Tamandua tetradactyla: one gene and its partner. The protein of the gene in region 1 binds, or shares a complex with, the protein of each later gene. Links are inferred from orthologs where the notes say so. Each region holds a gene or a part of one and is shown on either strand. Other genes may lie near its edges. The genes, in order: SIRT5 and PRDX1.

Region 1 (9,020 bases):
AAGGGTGCCAAGTTCACTCAATGGAGAAAGAATAATTCCTTCAATAAATGGTGCTGGGCAAACTAGATATCTACAAAAAAAAAAGAATGAAAGTGGATTCCTACCTTACACCATGCACAAATATAAATAAAAACAGATCAAAGAGAAGAACTAAAACTATAAGACAACTACAAGAAAACATAAGGGAAAGATCTTTAGGATTGTTAGAAAATGGATTCTTAGACTTTACACCAACAAAAGAGAAAAGATTAATTGCACTTCATCAAAATTAAAAACTTTTGTAGAAAGGACATTACCAAGAAAATGAGAAGACCCCCTTCAGAATGGAAGAAGATATTCAGAAAGAATATATCTAATAAAGGTATAAAATTCCAAGTATATAAAGACATCCAGCAACCAAACAACAAAAAGATAAAAACCAACTACAAATGGGCAAAGGACTTGAATACACATTTCTCCCAAGGAGATACAGATGGCAAATAAGCACATGAAAAGATGCTCAACATCAACCACCATCAGGGAAATGCAAATTAAAACCACAATGAGATACTACTTCACACCAACTAGAATGGCTATTCAAAAAATAAAATGGAAAATAAATGTTGGTGAGGATGTGAAGAAATAGAAACCCTCTTACACTGCTGGTGAGAAGGTAAAATGATTCAGCCACTGTGGAAAAGTTTGGTGGTTCTTCAGAATGTTAAAAATAGAATTATCATATGAGCAATCTCACTTCTAGATATATACCCCAAAAGAACTGAAAGCTGGGACTCAAACACATACATTTGCACCCAATATGCGTAATGGCATTATTCACAATAGCCAAAAGGTAGCAGCAACTCAAATGCTCATTGACAGATGAATGAACAAAATGTGGTACAATATATATATAATGGAATACTTTCACCTGTAAAAAGAAATGACTTCTGGTACATCCTACGATGTGGATGAACCCTGAAGACTTCACATTGAGTGAAATAAGCTAAACACAAAAGGAAAAACATATGATCTAGCTCATATAAAATAACTAGAATATCCAAATTCATAGACTCAAAAATTAGAATACAGGTTACCAGGCGCAGGAAGAGGGAGTGAATGCTTAATTGATACAGAGTTTCTGTTTGGCATAATGGAAACGTTTTGGCAATGGATGATAGTAACCATTGTCCAATACTGTGAATGTCATTAACACCACTGAATTGTACAGCTGAAAGTGGTTACAATGGGCAATTTTAAGTTTACCATCATAAATTAAAAAAAAAAAAAAAACCACAGAATTTCATAACACAAAGAGTATGCCCTAAGGTAAACAATTAAATAGCACTGCTTCATCAGTTGTAACAAAGGTATCACACTAATGCAAAATAGGAATAGGAAAAATTGCATATGGGGCATATTTTAGAAGTTTATACTTTCTGGGCGATTCTTTTGTAAACCTACAACTGCTTTAATTACATAATATATATGCACACACACATACATACACACATTTTTTAGAAGGACATTTTGGGACATAAAAAATTGGAACATATATTGGGATTTTTACTTGGCAAAATCAGGAGTTGTATTATCTGGGTAAAATGTTCCTAGTTTGTCACCTGGGTTTTTCTATTTAAGAGTTTTCATTAGTACGTAATAATTACTTTCATCATAACACTTGTACTCAAAGTAATAAAATAGAATAAAATTTTACTTATTAATGTTTCAATATTTCCAGAAACCACTAGATTCTAAATTCTTTGCCTAGGAAATACAATCAAGAAGTACTTTGGGGGAAGATAACTTTAGTTCTCATCTTACGTGAATTGTAATGTCTAATTACATACACACTATATGTGATTACATAAATACTTATGCACATAAATATGTAAAAGGTAGTTCTACCTTCTTCTGCACGCTTACAACCCCGTTGGAGTCTAAAAGCAAATGCTGGACTAGGAGGGAAGGCAGGACACTGAGAAACTGGAAACTCAGATTATCTAATCCAGGAGTCCTCAGGGGTGAAAAGAGCCCTGGACCTCTCCCTCTCTAAGTCAACTCGAGAGATAAACTCACTACCCTCCCCATTACATGGGACATGACTCCTAGGGGTCTGGCATCATAGGACAGAATTCTCAGGACGAGCCGGGACCTGGCATGATGGGATTGAGAAAGCCTTCTTGACCAAATGGGGGAAGAGAGAAATGAGACAAAATAAAGTTTCAGAGGTTGAGAGATTTCAAACAGAGTGGAGAGTTTACCTTGGGGGCTATTCTTATGCATTACATAGATAACTCTTTTTATAGTTTATGGTGTATTGAAGTGGCTGGAGGGAAGTACCTGAAACCATGGAGCTGGGTTCCAACAGCTCTGATTCTCGAGGGCAATCGTATAACTATACAGCCTTTACAATGTGACTGTGTGATTGTGAGAAACCTTATGTCTGATGCTCCTTTTATCAAGGGTATGGACAGATGAATAAATATATATGGATAAAAATAAATAATAGGGGCGATAAGGGGTAAAATAAACTGGGTAGATACAAATACACTAGTGAATGAGAGGGAGGGGTAAGGGGTATGGGATGTATGAGTTTTTTCCTTTTATTTCTTTTACTGGAACGATGCATATGTGCTGAAAAATTATCTTGGTGATTGTGGTAGTTAGATTCAGTTGTCACCTAGTTCTGGTGCTGTGCACATGAGCCAATGGTACGTGAACCTCATCTGCAGCTGATTACATCGGCAGTCGGCTAGGAGGCATGCCTGCTGCAATGAAGGATGTTTGACTTAACTGGCTGGTGCTTAAATGAGAGAGCTCAACACAGCACAGGCCAACCAGCTCAGCCCAGGCCTTTGGAGATGCAGAAAGAAATCACCCCAGGGAAAGTTGTTGGAACCCAGAGGCCTGGAGAGAAGGCCAGCAGAGATCACCCTGTGCATTCCCACGTAAGAACGAACATCAGTTGAAAGTTAGCTGCCTTTTCTCTGAAGAACTAACTAAATAAATCCCCTTTTATTAAAAGTCAATCCATCTCCGATGTGTTGCATTCCGGCAGCTAGCAAACTAGAACAGTGATGAATACACAACTATGTGATGATACTGTGAGCCACTGATTTTTCACCACATATGGACTATATATGTATGAAGATGTGTCAATTATATATATATCTTTAAGTGCCTGGGTAAAGTCACCAGTTACTCTGCCTTGATTTCTTTTTGCATGGGCAGACACCGGGAACCCAACCCGGGTCTCCAGAATGGAAGGCAAGAATTCTGCTTCTGAGCCACCATCAAACTGCCCTCTGCCTTGATTTTATACTCAGGGTAAGAAAAGACGCTTCTAGGGAGGAAATAAACTCATTCACTGTCATTGGGAACTTTCTGGATGCTGGACAGGCACCTGTAAACTGACTCCTCTGTCTTAAGGGCAGTCCCCTTTTTAACGAGGTTTTCTTACACACCTGAACCTCACCTTCCAAATTAGAAGAAAAAAGCCTGTATGCTCCCTGTGTGGGAAAAAAGGGCCACTCTAATTCTGAAAACAAAGCAAAACAAAAAAACAGTAAATCAAAGATCATGTCAGGAATTTGAGAAAAATTTTCCAGAGAACATTAACTTAAACTACATGGTAATTATATTGTAAAGGAAATGCAAAAACTTACACAACTCACAGGTATTCAACAGATACATTTTGCACACCTATGAGCGGAATGCAGCGCTTGGCACCAGCCCCAGGTGTCTACCCTCAGGAACTGACTTCACTCCCTCCCCCGGCCCCCCTACCTGCCTTGGTCAAGGTCACCAGCGACCTCTACGTTACTAAACCCAGTGGTCCATTTCCAGCCTCCGACTTGGTCATGAACAGCCTGTGACCCAGTTGGTCCCTCCTCCGGGAACACTCGCTTCCCCTGGCTGCCAGGCTCCAGCCTCTCCCGGCTTTCCACCTACCTCCCTGGCTGCTCCTTCTCGCGTCCTCGGCTGGTTCATCCCGCCCTCCCCTCGGTCCCTGCGCTCTTCCCACCTGAGGCCCGCACGCCGTGGCCCCTCCTCCAGGGCGCCCAGGGCTCCACGCGGCCACGCCCGCCGCCTTCTCCGCATGCCCCCTCCATCGCCGGGCAGGCCGCTACTGCACGCCCCAGCTGCCCCACTGCACCCCAGCCTCGCCCTGACCTCGGCTCACGGCACATGCTCCCCCTCCACACCGCGGCCCGGGCCCGCCCCCTCTCCCCCGCCGCCCTCTCCAGCGGCCCGGGCTGCTGCAGGGGCCAGAGGGGCTCCCCTCAAAGGGCAGCCTCTGCTCGGCGCTCCCCGGGCTCCCCTGACCCAGCAGCCCCCCACGCCCCCCTGCTCGGGCCCTGCTACGGTCTCAGCTCGCTTCCTGTCCCCCAGCCCCGCCGGCTCGGCGGCCTCCCCTCCCGCGCCTCTGGGCCGCCCGCCGCCTCTGGCCCCTTCCGGGCCCTGCCGGCGGGACCGAGCGGAGGGCCCACCCCGGAGGTCTGCGCGGGCAGCCACGACCCTCCGAGCCCAGCGGCCTGCATGGAGTGAGGAAACACGCAGCCTGCCGAAGCTCGCGGCGGGCTGGGACCCGCGGCCAGGGACCCACGCGGAGACGCACCTGCGTGAGGCGGCAATGGCGGGCCCGAGCCCGGAGGGCCAGGCGGGGGCCGCGGGGCGGAGCGCACCCAGCCCGCCGCCCTCGGCTGCAGCGGCCCCTACCGGCGACCCAGACCGTGTCTGGGCCCGCAAGCCGCGGGAGCGATTCCCGTCCCGTTTTATTGAAAGATCAGTTTTCTTTCTTTCTTTGGGGGACGGGAGGGGTGGGGTGAGCCGTTTCTCGCTTTGTCTTTGAGAGCTCCCAGGTTTCCCTTCTCACCACCGCTTCCCGCGGATGTCGTGAATTACGAATTGCTCCGTTTCCTCCTCAAGCTAGCGACTAGATCACACTCAACTCCGGACAAAGCATTTCAAATGTTGGGGTTATTCCCCCTCATTTCCCCCCCCCCCCCCGTAGAGCTGTTTCAAAGGGTGGTAAGTAAGGTTTCCAGGCTAGCCCAGCAGACCTCTCTAACCTAATGAAGCTCCACGTGTCTGGGTCCCCTTGAAAAGTCGGTCCCCTTTCCTTTGGTGCAGGTCTACCGCCAACACTATTTTTCCTGTAATTGCTTTGGGCCCACCAATGGACCAAAAGGGGAAGTGTCCAGAAATTAGGGTGCCAACAATATTACATTAACTTTTTTTCCCTAACTGTAACCTCAACATTTGCAGCAGTTTGGCTGGAAACCCAACCCGCTTTGGGACTCCGTTCGCTCCTCTAGGTTGTACCAGCGCCCCAGAGACTAAGGATATTGGTGGCACTATCATATCTGGCTATTTTCCCTTATACATACAGGTGCTTACTCTGTGTTAGACACTATTCTAAGAACTTGACATGTATTAAGCCATTTAAATCTCCCCTACTACCTTATGAAGTAGTTACTGTTATCTCCGTTTACAGGCCGGGACACTGAAGCCTAAAGAGATCAAGTCCTGCCTAAATCACAAAGCTATTAAGGAGTTAAGCTGGGATTAGAGCCCGAGTGTTTCAGCACCAGCCATAAGGGTCCAAGCCAGCACGTATATTGCCTTTCATTAAAGTGTTGTTCCATTGCTTTCTTTGCTTATGTTATTGGCCATCAAGTGTTCATCCCTTAGCCTAATCACATACTAGCCAGCACCTTTCATTGCAGCCTTCCATAGTCCACAAGACTAAATAGTAGCCCTGTTTACTCATAAGCCCTGCCGTCTCTGAGACATTCTGTCGTAGTCTAGGAGTCCACCACCCAGTCATCACACCATGATTCCACCCCATCCCTTCTCCCAGGCTTGCAAGAGCCAATTCTCCCCAGCGGTGTCAGGCTATTTTCTCTTCTTGAAGCATCAGCCCCCAGCCTTTCCATCTTTCAAGCAATTGCAGCTTAATTTCTTGATGGCCTTGCGTTTTCAAAACAAAGGTTTCAGCCCTGAAATAACCTCTCCCTCTCCCCAAATGCTCTTTTCCCACTCCCTTCTCTTACCCTTCCAGTCTCCGCTCAATGGTCACTTCCTCAGAAAGCCACACGCACCCCTCCACTAAGTAAACTCTCTCACCGCTGGTATAGACTTGTACAGCACCGTAGCAGTTTTCCTAGTCGAGATTTCAAATGTATTTCTCTGATTACGTGTTCCCCATACACACCCCAGGTTGTAAGATCCCTTAAGGAGAACTTCTTGTGCCTTTTTATTTACTATCATATTCTCAGCTCCTCACAATCCATACAGTAGATGGCTCAGTTAGTAAGAATGTATTAAATGAATGAATGAATAAATGAACAGCTTCACAGGAGAAGACACCCAGAACTTAGAGGATAATGATTTGGTTATGTTTACTAAAATGAATAGGCGATTTATCTTTTTTATTTTTATTTTTTTACTTATGAGCCCACAACAATAAATAATAAACAAAGAAAACAGTTTATGGATAATTCATTCTATAAAGGTTTTCCTGGGATATAACAGTAGGTGCTATAACAGTTTGAGGCATGTAAATTGGAAGGTAGAATTACCTCCTTTTAATGAAGTTCAGACGGGCCAAGCTTTATTTCTGCAAAGAGAATCCCCATCCCATCCACCCCCCATCCTTAGTTTTACATTCTCTTTGGGTCACTGGCTTAATGGGTTACCATGCTTCCCCTCAGGGGTGGACTCTAGTGCAAATATAGACCTCTAGTGTAAATATAAAAATGGACATAAGCACCATGCTTGGTGTCTTTTACTGTCTGATTTATTTTGACACATAGGGAGCAAGAAGGTTGAAACTTTCTAAGAGTTTTTGCCTAACACAAAGGAAGAACAGAAAAGAAAATCAACATCTAGATGGCAAAACTACAAGAGACAATTTAGAAATTGTGCAAAAATCCCAGCTCCGTTAGATTCTGTGTCCCGGCTTCATCTTTCCATATGAAGATACCCTGCTCCTCCCACACCCATCCATCACAGGAGAACAGCAAGATAGCAAGGCTCTCTCAGCACACCTTCTCAGATTCCCTAGGCTCCCAAGGGAGGCCTGAGGGCTGGTCAACCCCAGGAATGAGACCTGCCGTAAGATGGGTTCTGGCACACACTATCGAGGGATGGTTGTGCTCGAACCTCTGTTGGCGGATCAGTACGTTTGCATATAATACATACCCAGACTATTCCTCCAGACCTGCTACACACAGCACCAATGTGCTCAGCACGTACTTACATAAAATAGGCATGGATAACCGAACTTAGTGGCGGTGGATAGGAAAATAAAGATTGCAGGTGTTTGCACGCTCTGGGAGGAAAAGGAGGATGTGAAGAAGCAGCTGCATCAGAGTCTGGACCAGGAGCCACCTCGCCTCTCAGTAGTTGGATGGTTGTGAGGGACTGGTGCCCATGCATTTAATGTCCAAGAGCCCTGACCTTCCATTCTCATTGTCTCAGTTTACCAGAGCTGCTATGAAAAATACTATACCATGGGTTGGTTTAAACTGCAAGCATTTGTCTCATGGTTTTGAAGGCTAGAAATCCAAAATCAAGATAATGCCAGGCCAGGAGTGATGCAAATGTTCTAAAAAGGATCATGGTGAAGAATACACAAGTCTATGATGATACTGTGAGCCATTGATTGTATATATTGTTGGACTGTATGTGTGTGGATATTTCTCAATAAAAATATTTTTTAAATAATAGGGGAATATAAGGGAAGGGGTATGGGATTGTTTTGTTTGTTTTCTTGGAAAAAATGGGAATGTTCTCATATTGATTGTACTGATAAATACATAACTGTGATTATACACTTGATTATACACATATAACACTGAGTATACACTTAGGATGGATTATATAGTGTGAATAAAATTTTAAAAAAAAGACAATGCCAGGCCATGTCCTTCCTAGGGTTAGCAGTGTTCTAATGCTGGCAATACTCAGCCATATGGCATGCTCTCTCTCTTCTCTGGCTTATTCTGACTTCAGGTTGCTTCCTCTGGCTTCCCCTGGCTCACTGCATCTGAATTTCCTTTTTTCACAATGGGTTGACACCCTGTTTTGCTAAAGCTGCAGAAATGCAATATACAGAAACAGACTGGCTTTAACAATGGGGATTTATTAACTTACAAATTTACAGTTCTTAGGCCATGAAAATGTCCAAATTAAGGCATCAAGAGGAAGATACCGTCTCTGAAGAAAGGCTGCTGGCATCCAGGGTTTCTCTGTCACATCGGAAGGAATATGGCCAGCTGGTCTTTTGCTCCGAGTTTCATTGTGTTCAGCTCCTGACTCTGATGGCCTTCTGAGTTTCTGTGGGTCCTCTTTTAGCATCTCCGGGGCTTTTCTCTCTAAGCTCTCTGGGCCTTTTCTGTCTTTTATCCTCTCATAAAGGACTCTAGTAAAGGATTAAGAGCCACCTTGAAAGGGGTGGGTCACATCTCAGTTGAAACCACCTAATCAAATGGTCCCACCCACAACAGGTCTACACCCACAAGAATGGATTAAAACAACATGGCCTTTTGTAGGGCACATAACAGCTCCAAACCAGCACACACTCACAGGTATGTGGATTCAGACTTGAGCACCTCTTTTGTGGGGGATTTGATTCAATCCCTGACATTTATGTTTATAGTATCCAGTATGATGTCATTTGTTTTGTTGGTTATAGTTTATCTTTTTGAAGATATTAAATGGAAGAATAACATGGTACCACTCAAAGACATTTTTCCCAATTGGATCTTTTCACTTCCACCCTGACCAGCAGACAAAGCTTTCCATTTGCATACCCCTCCCCTCCCCACCAAGTACCTACAGTTCTCTATCCTCACTGGTGTTAACCACTGAATGGAAGATTGTCCACAATTGGGTAAAGGGAGGAAAGAGTTAAGTGGCAAAGTTCCTTGCTTGAGGACATTTTTCCTCTGAGTTTCTTCTATCTTGCTCCTTATTCTTCTGGATACTTGAAAGGTAAGGTTCAAATTCTTACCAGGCTCCAAAGACTGACTCTT
Region 2 (8,867 bases), on another chromosome or scaffold:
AATGAAAGAAAACATGGGATGGACAAACAAATTTTAAAAATGAACTCAGTCAAAATTATTAGATAGAATTTATAAATTTGAATTGACAAAGTTTGCAATGAAGAAATTTAAATTATGAAAATTTGAATTACTGAAAAAAAAAAGTAGCAAAACTTCTCCATGTAAACTGGAAAAAAATAATAATAATAAAAGTACTCAGCAAAAGCTGAATTGCTGGGTTCTCCTCTGTTGCCAGGAGATTAAGGGACCAACAAGAGAAGTCAGAGCCTTTGCATTTCCTTCCAAGATGAACCACAGTGATGGGAAGGGTAAGGACCTGAATCACCACCACAAACTTCTTTCCTTACAAGCCTGACAGCACTAACTCTTATAAGACTAAAGTTCTAAAACTCCTGGTAGGTAACAGGACCTCTAATTGGAATTTTATTGAAGTCCTTTAGACTACCAATTGAAGCAGATCTTCAAACTTGCCAGCAGCCTCTCACCACACCTGATGGACTGAGCTTTTGGAGCAACTCAATTCACCTATTCACTTATTTCCAGGTAGCAGCACTGTTTGGAAGTCAAAATAGGAGGCCTTTTTTGACATTCACTTTGAAAAGTAAAATCACTACAAACTGACTCATCTAAGCAACCCCTCCAGGGCTCCGCCTAACAAGCACTTTGAAGCCAGGGAAGACTGAGCCCTGAAAAGCAGAGAACAGCTCCTCCTAGACTTCATGCCTATACTCATGGGACAGTGTCACCTCCCTCTAGTGCTACTTAGCTTGTTTGCCAAGAGGAGCTTCCCTCCACAGAACTCTACTTACCTGCTCTCATAACAACCAACAAGTATGATGTATTAGGAAACCTAGTAGCATATTCTACCCAAAAGATGATTTCAGGACTTGACACTATACCACTAAAAAAGGTACACATGATAACTGAGTTTCAGGTTTGCATTCTAACTAATCTATACTTTCAATTATCCCAGGAGACTTGGATGCTCTGGGACTGCACGACAATGAAATGGAAAACCTCTTTCGAGTTTGCCAAATGTCTGCATGAAACTATGACAACAGAAAGGGAAACTGTTCTGTGACATCGGCTTTTCTTTTGGTGGCAAAATAGTGAAGGGATTGGTCCTCAGCCCTCTGCCTAATAATGTAGCAGCTGTGACACACATTTTACAATCACTACTGAACAAGTAGTATCACAGCTTCATAGACTTAAAGGTCCAGATGCAATCAAATTTAAAATGTGGAAAGCCTCTTATAATGAGTTAATAATGATAATTTTTCCCCAATTACACAATTAAGAAAGAGTAACTAAGAAATCAAATTGAGCTAATATGTGATACATAATGAAGCATGTGCTTTCTCCAGCAGATGCCTAGACCTAGGATAGTTACCCTGTGATCACTGTTTATCATGTGATCATCACTTCACTTAAGCACCTTGACCTAGGAGATACAAAGTATTTTACAACTGAGTATAACAGAGATACAGAAATCCAACTAGCCATCCCTAAATTATAAAATAATTCCATTTTAATAAGTCCAATGTAACTACTCTTACCTTTGTAATCAGAGAGGCTGATATCTTTGAACTGACCATCTGGCATAACAGCTGTGGCTTTGAAGTTGGGGGCAGGGTGCCCAATTTTGGCAGTTCCTGAAGACATCTTGCTATCAGCTGCAAAAGACAAATTAGAGAAAATGGATTAATCAGAAACAAACTTAAACCAGCAGCCTTCATTTACTTAGGGATTTAGCTGCAGAAAAAGCAAGGAATTATCCACTGGCTCTAGATACATGCACTAATTGTTTGTTTTTCTCTTTTAAAGAACAAACCAGCAGCCAGGGGACACAATGGAAGGACCAGAATCTGAGCTTTCCGCTTTTGGAACAAACCAGTTATTACAAGTCTGAATCTCAGTCTTTGTTTTCACTTAAAACAATAATTTTTTTATAGGTTGACGTCACCCCTATCACTTTTTCTGAACCATCAATTTATGAAATGGCATTTCTTCTGCATTACTGAACAGAAGCAAAGAAAAGGAAGTGCAGACCCTCAAACCAGAATCTATATGGACAATGGCACACTGAATGTCTAACGTGGTCATATTACCCTTTCTCCAGAATTTGCCTCCACGTGCCTTCATAAAGCGTGAAGCCCGAATGAACTGTTTCCTAGGCCAGTGTGTCAAATCCACACCTTAAAGCCAACCTGACTTTTTAAGAGGCAAGACCAGGATTTTGGTCTTGTCTTCTGTTTAGCCCTAGAAGTCCTTTCAAAAGTGGGTTTCTGACCTCAAGGCCAAAATCATGGGGGGAAAGTAAGTAGAGCAAAAACCAGTTCACTGATAAAAAACAATGTTGCACTAGACTTACCCAGGTCAACACCAAGATAATGAGGATAAGCTTCAACCCAGCAAATTATCTGTTTGAAAGTCCCAAGACCCTATTTTTCCAGTAGGTCCTGAAGCTCTTGGTTCATAATAAGAGAGCCAAAAGAAACTAGGTAAGAACGCCGAGGATCGACCATGGGACACTTGTTACTGCCTGTTTTTTCTTTTGTTTTTTTAATCTTGTAACACCCTTTCAAAGAAACAGTAAGGCTCGCTGCAAATAGGAAACCAAACTACGGGGTGTGACCCTAACAAATATAGCCTCATCCAAACCTACTTTTGAAGGTGCGCCCCCACCACCCCACCCCCAGCCGAAGGGTAAAGGCTGCTCGACTTCCCACCGGTGCAGCCCCCTCAGGGGATCTGCCCAATAACTTAGGCCAGGGCCACACCCCTAAATCCACTTCGGAAAGCTCCAGCATAAGAGTGCGCAGTCTTCAGCGACAGCATGTGGAATTATCTAAAACACATCTCACTCTGCAGATGGGAACATGATGAACGAAAAGGGATGCAAGGTACTCAAGGCTCCACAGCCAAGTCACAGCTCAGAGCAGGAAATGGCGTTTACCCTACCACACGACCAACAAGAAAAGGCAGCCCTCTGCAGCCACAGGTTAGGTTCCAGGTTCATTCTAGAAGATTCCCGAACCCGCCCCGCCCCTCGGGAGGCCAGTCGAGGAGAGCTGCCCCACTACACACCCCGCCCCTCCAAGCCAACCAGCGCCCCCAGTTCGGAATAAGCGAATACTGGAGCCGGCGAAAGTCTCCATCTTCAACCAACCCTCGAGGGGGGGGCCCACGTGGGAGGTGCGCATGTCGCCCGAGGATCGTAGGACGCCAGGCTCTCCCCCGGCCGCCTAAACCACCACAACACCTCCAGAGGAGCCCGTGCAAGCCCCAAGGAGAAGGGGAGGCGGCGGCGGGGGTGGGGTGGGGTGGGGGGGGTGAGTGACGCTCGGCCCCACCGAGGACGCGGTGGACTTACTCACCAAATACCCAAAGAAAGCTACGCAGAACAGCCGGGAAGAGGACGCGCAAAGTCCGCGCGGGGCGCTGTCTATATAACTTGTGAGGCTCTCGCGAGAGTCGAAACGGGTCGGGGGTGCGAGAAGAGGAGATAAGGAGGGGGTTTCTGCCCTGCGCCCCGCCCCCCACCCCCACCCCGCTAGAATGACTCAGCATTTTCCTTGCCGGGGGCGGTGTGAGCGCGGAAACCATCAATCACCTTTTCCCGCCGTTTATTGTTGATGTGCGAGAGCGTGGTCTTTTCTCGTCCGCCCGGAACCCAAAAGCCTTCGTTAAATTTAGGATGTCTGCGGGGCGGGAATAGGGAGGTAGGTGCAATTCCCTTGCTTCTGGAACCCCGGCGCGCTGTGCCCTCAGGGCCCAAACCTGGTTAAAAGTCCTCGCTGCTGCCACGGAGGACCAAGGCAGTTCCTCACCAAGCCCGGAGAACATTAACTAAATGTTTTTCAAATCCGTCTCGGTCCCCGAAGCTTCTGCCAGATTCCTCACCGTTGTTAACTTTTGAGACACCCTCCTTCGTCGTTCACCCAGATCACAGGCTTGCTGCTTTCCATCTCCCATGCATCCCTTACTCTGCGGCTGGAAGGAATCTTTGTGAAATCTGATCATGTCACTCTTCTGACTTGTGGTTAAAAAAACTGGGGCTCTGTAGTCAGTTCCTTGAATTAAAGCTACTATCGTTTTGTGTGACCTTGGGGTAGGATTCTTAATTCTGCTAACCCTCACTTTTTCTGACCTGCAAAATTGGGAGTAATATTAATATTTCATGGTATTGTTGTGAAGATTAACTGATATTAGCTATCTGCGTAAATTACTTATCACCGTACCTAGCTCTTAGTATACATTAGAAACGTTAGCTATTATTTATTATTACTCTCTTAGTCCTCCTGAATTATAATTCTGAACGATGTGAACTGTTGCAACCCTTTAGAATTTTGTTCAAGCCTGAAGAGCCTGTTGCTTCCTAACTGGCCCAGAGAAAAAGTCTTTCAAGACTTAGCTCAAGTTTTACCTTCTCTGAAGCTGTTCCTAAACTTTGGTCGTCCCCAGAATTGATATTCCCTCCATTGTGCCCAAGCAATATAGTCCATGTATCAAAGGAGGGGGAAAAACCTTTTAAGCTGTTTTACTTGTTTACATAGCTTCCTTTTGCTTTTAGACTTTCTGGAGGATAGTGTACTTGGATCACATCCATTCTGTGTCCCCAGGTCACAACAATACCTGATAGAGGAACTCAGTCAGTCAGTGTTTAATAAATAATCTAGTGTCCCCTTTTCTGGGCTTCTACCCCTCCCCCATCTTATTAACTCCCTTGGAGTTATAGCGTGGATAAGAAATGGGAAGTGCTGTGTCATGCTGGCTGAGCATTTCCAATTTTTTTGGTATTTTTCATCCTACCTTGCAAAAGTAATGATTTTTGTAGTTACTTTTTCTTTCTCCAAGGCTGAGCAATTATTTGGCATTACTCATTTTCAGTGGTGGGGGGCCGTAGGGGAGGGAGTTGTTTTGGGCTTAATGCTGGATGTTTATTGCTATGATCAGACTAAACAAAAGCACACAGCCACACTTCAGCCAGAAGAAAATGACCATTTATTGTATTCACCATGCACCAGGCCATGGGCTGGGCCCTTGGGTTTATTTTGTTTCATTTAAGAAACAAAAGAGTGGGGTCCACAGGTACTTCAGTGGTAGAACTCTCACATGCCATACAGGAAACCTGGGTTCAATTCCTGGCCCTTGCACCTCCTTACCCCCCACCCCACCCCACCCCCATAAAAAGAGCCAAAAGGGTTATCTAGGCCCAAGGAAAGATCAACAACCCCTTGGTTATATAAAAAATTTAAATAGGAGGATAGTTCTGAGAAAAGAAAAAATCTGTTGCACACTTGTGTATGTATGTTTATGGAATCTCCTTCCCCAGATAATAGTAAAATTACCAAAATGGGGTAGAGGCTTTTCTCTTTTATCCTCCTACAGGACCTGATACATATCTGTAGCTCTATTTTGACACATATCTCATTATGTTGTCCTCGTTTGTTCACTAGTAGTCTGTCTGGGAAGGACTATTCCTGTTTTATTTGTCTTTGTAGTACCAGAACCTAGCCAGTAAATGGCATGGGAAAATTGCCTAATAAATATTAGAATGTACTGAAGATTTGGGGGATGTGGAATTAAATTATTTGAACTGTGTTTTAGGAAAATTGCTCTGGCAGCTGTGTGATGGGTGAACTTAATAATTAGGACATAAAGGCAAAGAGAACAGCTAAGAGGCTACTGCAAAGATTCAGACAAGAGAAGACTCAGAACCATCATAGGGTATTGGCAGCAGGGATGGAAAGCAGAGAAGATATACAAGGGTTATTTCTACAGGATTTAAGATAAGAAGAAGGGGTAGGTTAAATCCTAGGTTTCTTATCTTGGCAACATAATCAAGGGTGATGCCATTAACCAATGGGATAGGGGACATTGGAGGATACGCAGGTTCTAGGTTAAAAATAATGACAAACATTTATTGAGTACTACCTGTTTTGCAGATGAGGCACCTGATGCCTAAGAAATTTGGGAAATTGTACAAGGTCACAGCTAACATCCATTGAAGTCAGCTTCTAACCTGGGTAGCAGAACCATCGGGTTGCATAATATTCAAATGGAATATTTACATGAACTATAATGTAAAGGTGTCCCCTAGCATTGTGCCTCACAGCTCACAGTGGTCTAAACAGGTGGTATGATTCTGAAATCTACTCTTAAAGGAGAAGATAATCAGTTTAGTTTGAGGCAAACAGCATTTCAGATGCTTATAGGATATTCAGGTGGTGGTGTCCAGAGATTGTCATTGGAGATGTAGATTTGAGAATCAGCAAATCAACAGCACAGAAGTTGAGTTAACACATTCATTGTGCTTCTATTTAACACTCTGCTTTGTCATCAGACATCAAAGAAGAATAAGAATACTGATGTATGTTGAAGGAACTCTAAAAAGCTAGCTAGGGAGAGAGAGATCAGGGAAAGGGGTTCCAAGCTGAGAACAGAGCAGGATAGGAAACAGTATGTGTTTGGGGAACTACTGGTAGTTCAATATTAGTAGAATGCAAATGCCAAGGACTAGAACGTAGAGGAAAGAATGTGGGCAGAAACAGGTCACGATGCACCTCATAAACCAGACTGAGGAGTTTGGATTTTATATCAGGAGGTGTGGGTGATTAAAGAGTTTTGAATATAAGAATGTCCACATCAAGCTCTGTTACTGATCATTCTGGCAGCTGCATAGAGAATAGATTTAGAGGACCAAGAAGATATGGGACCAGTAAGCAGGCTGTTACCAGGACTAGGAGAAAAGAGGTAGAAAGTCTGAGTGAAGGCAGTGTGCCAAGTGTGGAAAGTTGGGATTAGGTGGCAAGAACTTTGCAAGAACTGCAGATTTTCCCAATTTGCAAGAACTGGGAATCATTTATAGGGAGTGAGTCCCAGGGGAACTGAATGAAGAGATGTGCAATTTACAGAAATGTGAAACAGATTTGGGGGAAGATGATAAAGACCCCACTTTGGGGCATGTTGAATTTGGGGTTCCATGAGGAAATGGCCAAGAAGACATGTCGGTTGGATATGTGGAAACTTAAGGAACCCTTCCTATTGTATTCATGTGACCCCTAATACTTAGAAGCGTGATTCCTGGCTCATGGTAAGTACAATAGGATTTGTTAAATAACGTAAAGAATTATATTGATTCTGACATCATAAATAATTATATTGATTCTGACAATATCAAGGATACTTGAAACTGTGAGAATAAATGAGGTCCCTGAGAAGTGGAAAGAAGTGATCCAAGACCAGAACCACAGAGAATTTCTATGGGTTGGGAGAAGGAACAAAAACAATCAAAGATCAAAGGAACAAAAACAGCTAAAAAAGAACAGCATTTTATGGCAAAGTGCCAGTCATGAAAATAAACTGTTTCTCCCAGGAATAATTACTGTTTCCTCTAGTAACCGCCATCATCATTGAAGTGTATTGCACCTGAAACAAGGTAACAAAAAAAAACTGTAGTTTGAAATTTACTAAATTTCCTATAAAATCTTTTAAATTAAAAAAAAAAAAAAAACTAATGAAGTTGTTGATTGATGAGGGACTTGGGTAGGGCTTTGTTAGGAAGAATTGCCTGAGGTGAGGGCAGCTACTGAGAAAATGTTTGCATAAATCCTGTTTTGCTCTATTTCTTAGAAGTGAGGCTTTTTAATAATTTTCTCTGCCCATTTCAAGCGACTATAACTTATTCACTGGGCAAAGCACTGGTTCCTAGCCCAGTTCTTCATAGAATTTAGCTCCCTCCATCTATTATCTTAAGGTAGTTTTCTCAAACAGGAGTAATGTGGTCCCTTGTAAAAAGAAAAACATTGTTGAGGACTTCTAATGTTGGTTTAATTGATTAAATTTAATTAACTTTCATTTTAATTTTTCATTCAAACCATTTATTCAATAGGTTGCCCCATGATACAATATGGAAAGTTATTTCCATGTTAATTGCTCCTGCCCTTACTACTGCTGAACTATTGCAGGATGAAATATATAAGATGAGATTTCTGCGAGCAAATACCTTCCATGAATACAGTGTAGCTCCTTTTGGATTCCACATACCTATATACTGCCTTCACCCTGTGATAATGACTCAATTCTCCTACCACTTTTCTCTGTTTAAGATTAGTGAAACCTTTATTCATACAATGTCCTTTGACATCATCTGGCTTTTGCTTAACAAAGCAGTTGTTACATCTTTGTGCTAATTTGCTGTGGTAGGTTACCTGACTCATCAACAGCCATTGTTCTTTCTTCCTATCAGAACAGATTAGCTAACAGGTAAAGCCATTCAATATGAGTATAAAAGTAGATGTCTCAGGATAGCTATGTATTATTTATTTGTTTGTTGTCAGTTTATTTTCGGGTTGGTCAAAATGTTTGCCTTTATTTGTAGCATCTTCATGCAAAATTATTTGGTTTAGCTCTCAACAGCCCACTTCTTGAGCTCTGAGGAAGCTTGCCTTCTTGAGTACCCAGTCTTTCATCCCAGCAAGAGACATTTGGGGGCAATTCCATCTCTTCTTTTTAACCTCCTTATGGTTTTTCTCATAGACTGGATTCTCTTTCTTTTAAATAATTTTGTCTTTAATAACCCAACAGTGATTCACAAGATGAATCACTGCCCATTATAAGAGATGCTAACATGGTTGTTAACTGCATGATCAGAGGCAGTGCAACTGGATTCCAGAGAGCAAGGATGGTAAAGCAGGGCTTCAGGTCTCACAGATTGAAAAGTTTGTTTAAGGAAAGATTTTGAGGGCATAGCAAGCAACTAAAGAAACATGAAATGTGAGGGACCCTCAGAAGACAGGCAGTGTTTGCTGGGTCATGAGCACCTTGAAGCGCTTCTTGATGGTGATTCGGTGTCACTAGTATTT

The links.
Region 2: the proteins of SIRT5 (region 1) and PRDX1 are in contact, whole or in part, in a crystal structure (PDB 8Z54), measured with the Homo sapiens proteins. The link is inferred for Tamandua tetradactyla from reciprocal best matches to the Homo sapiens genes SIRT5 and PRDX1. Residues at the interface, in NP_001363727.1 of Homo sapiens: Ala86, Tyr102, Arg105, Gln140, Ile142, His158, Val220, Val221, Trp222, Phe223, Gly224, Glu225, Asn226, Leu227, Leu232, Val253, Val254, Tyr255, Pro256; in NP_001189360.1 of Homo sapiens: Phe195, Ser196, Lys197, Gln198.

The regions. Positions count from the first base shown.
Region 1 is NC_135351.1:16,647,693-16,656,712, reverse strand, and holds the start of SIRT5 (NAD-dependent protein deacylase sirtuin-5, mitochondrial), read right to left. Parts: upstream 4,102-9,020; 5' UTR 4,081-4,101; coding exon 4,004-4,080; intron 3,959-4,003; exon of another isoform or gene 3,931-3,958; intron 1-3,930. UniProt on the Homo sapiens protein: NAD-dependent lysine demalonylase, desuccinylase and deglutarylase that specifically removes malonyl, succinyl and glutaryl groups on target proteins.
Region 2 is NC_135328.1:177,773,246-177,782,112, reverse strand, and holds the start of PRDX1 (peroxiredoxin-1), read right to left. Parts: upstream 4,010-8,867; 5' UTR 3,904-4,009; intron 3,508-3,903; exon of another isoform or gene 3,378-3,507; intron 1,674-3,377; 5' UTR 1,663-1,673; coding exon 1,557-1,662; intron 1-1,556. UniProt on the Homo sapiens protein: Thiol-specific peroxidase that catalyzes the reduction of hydrogen peroxide and organic hydroperoxides to water and alcohols, respectively.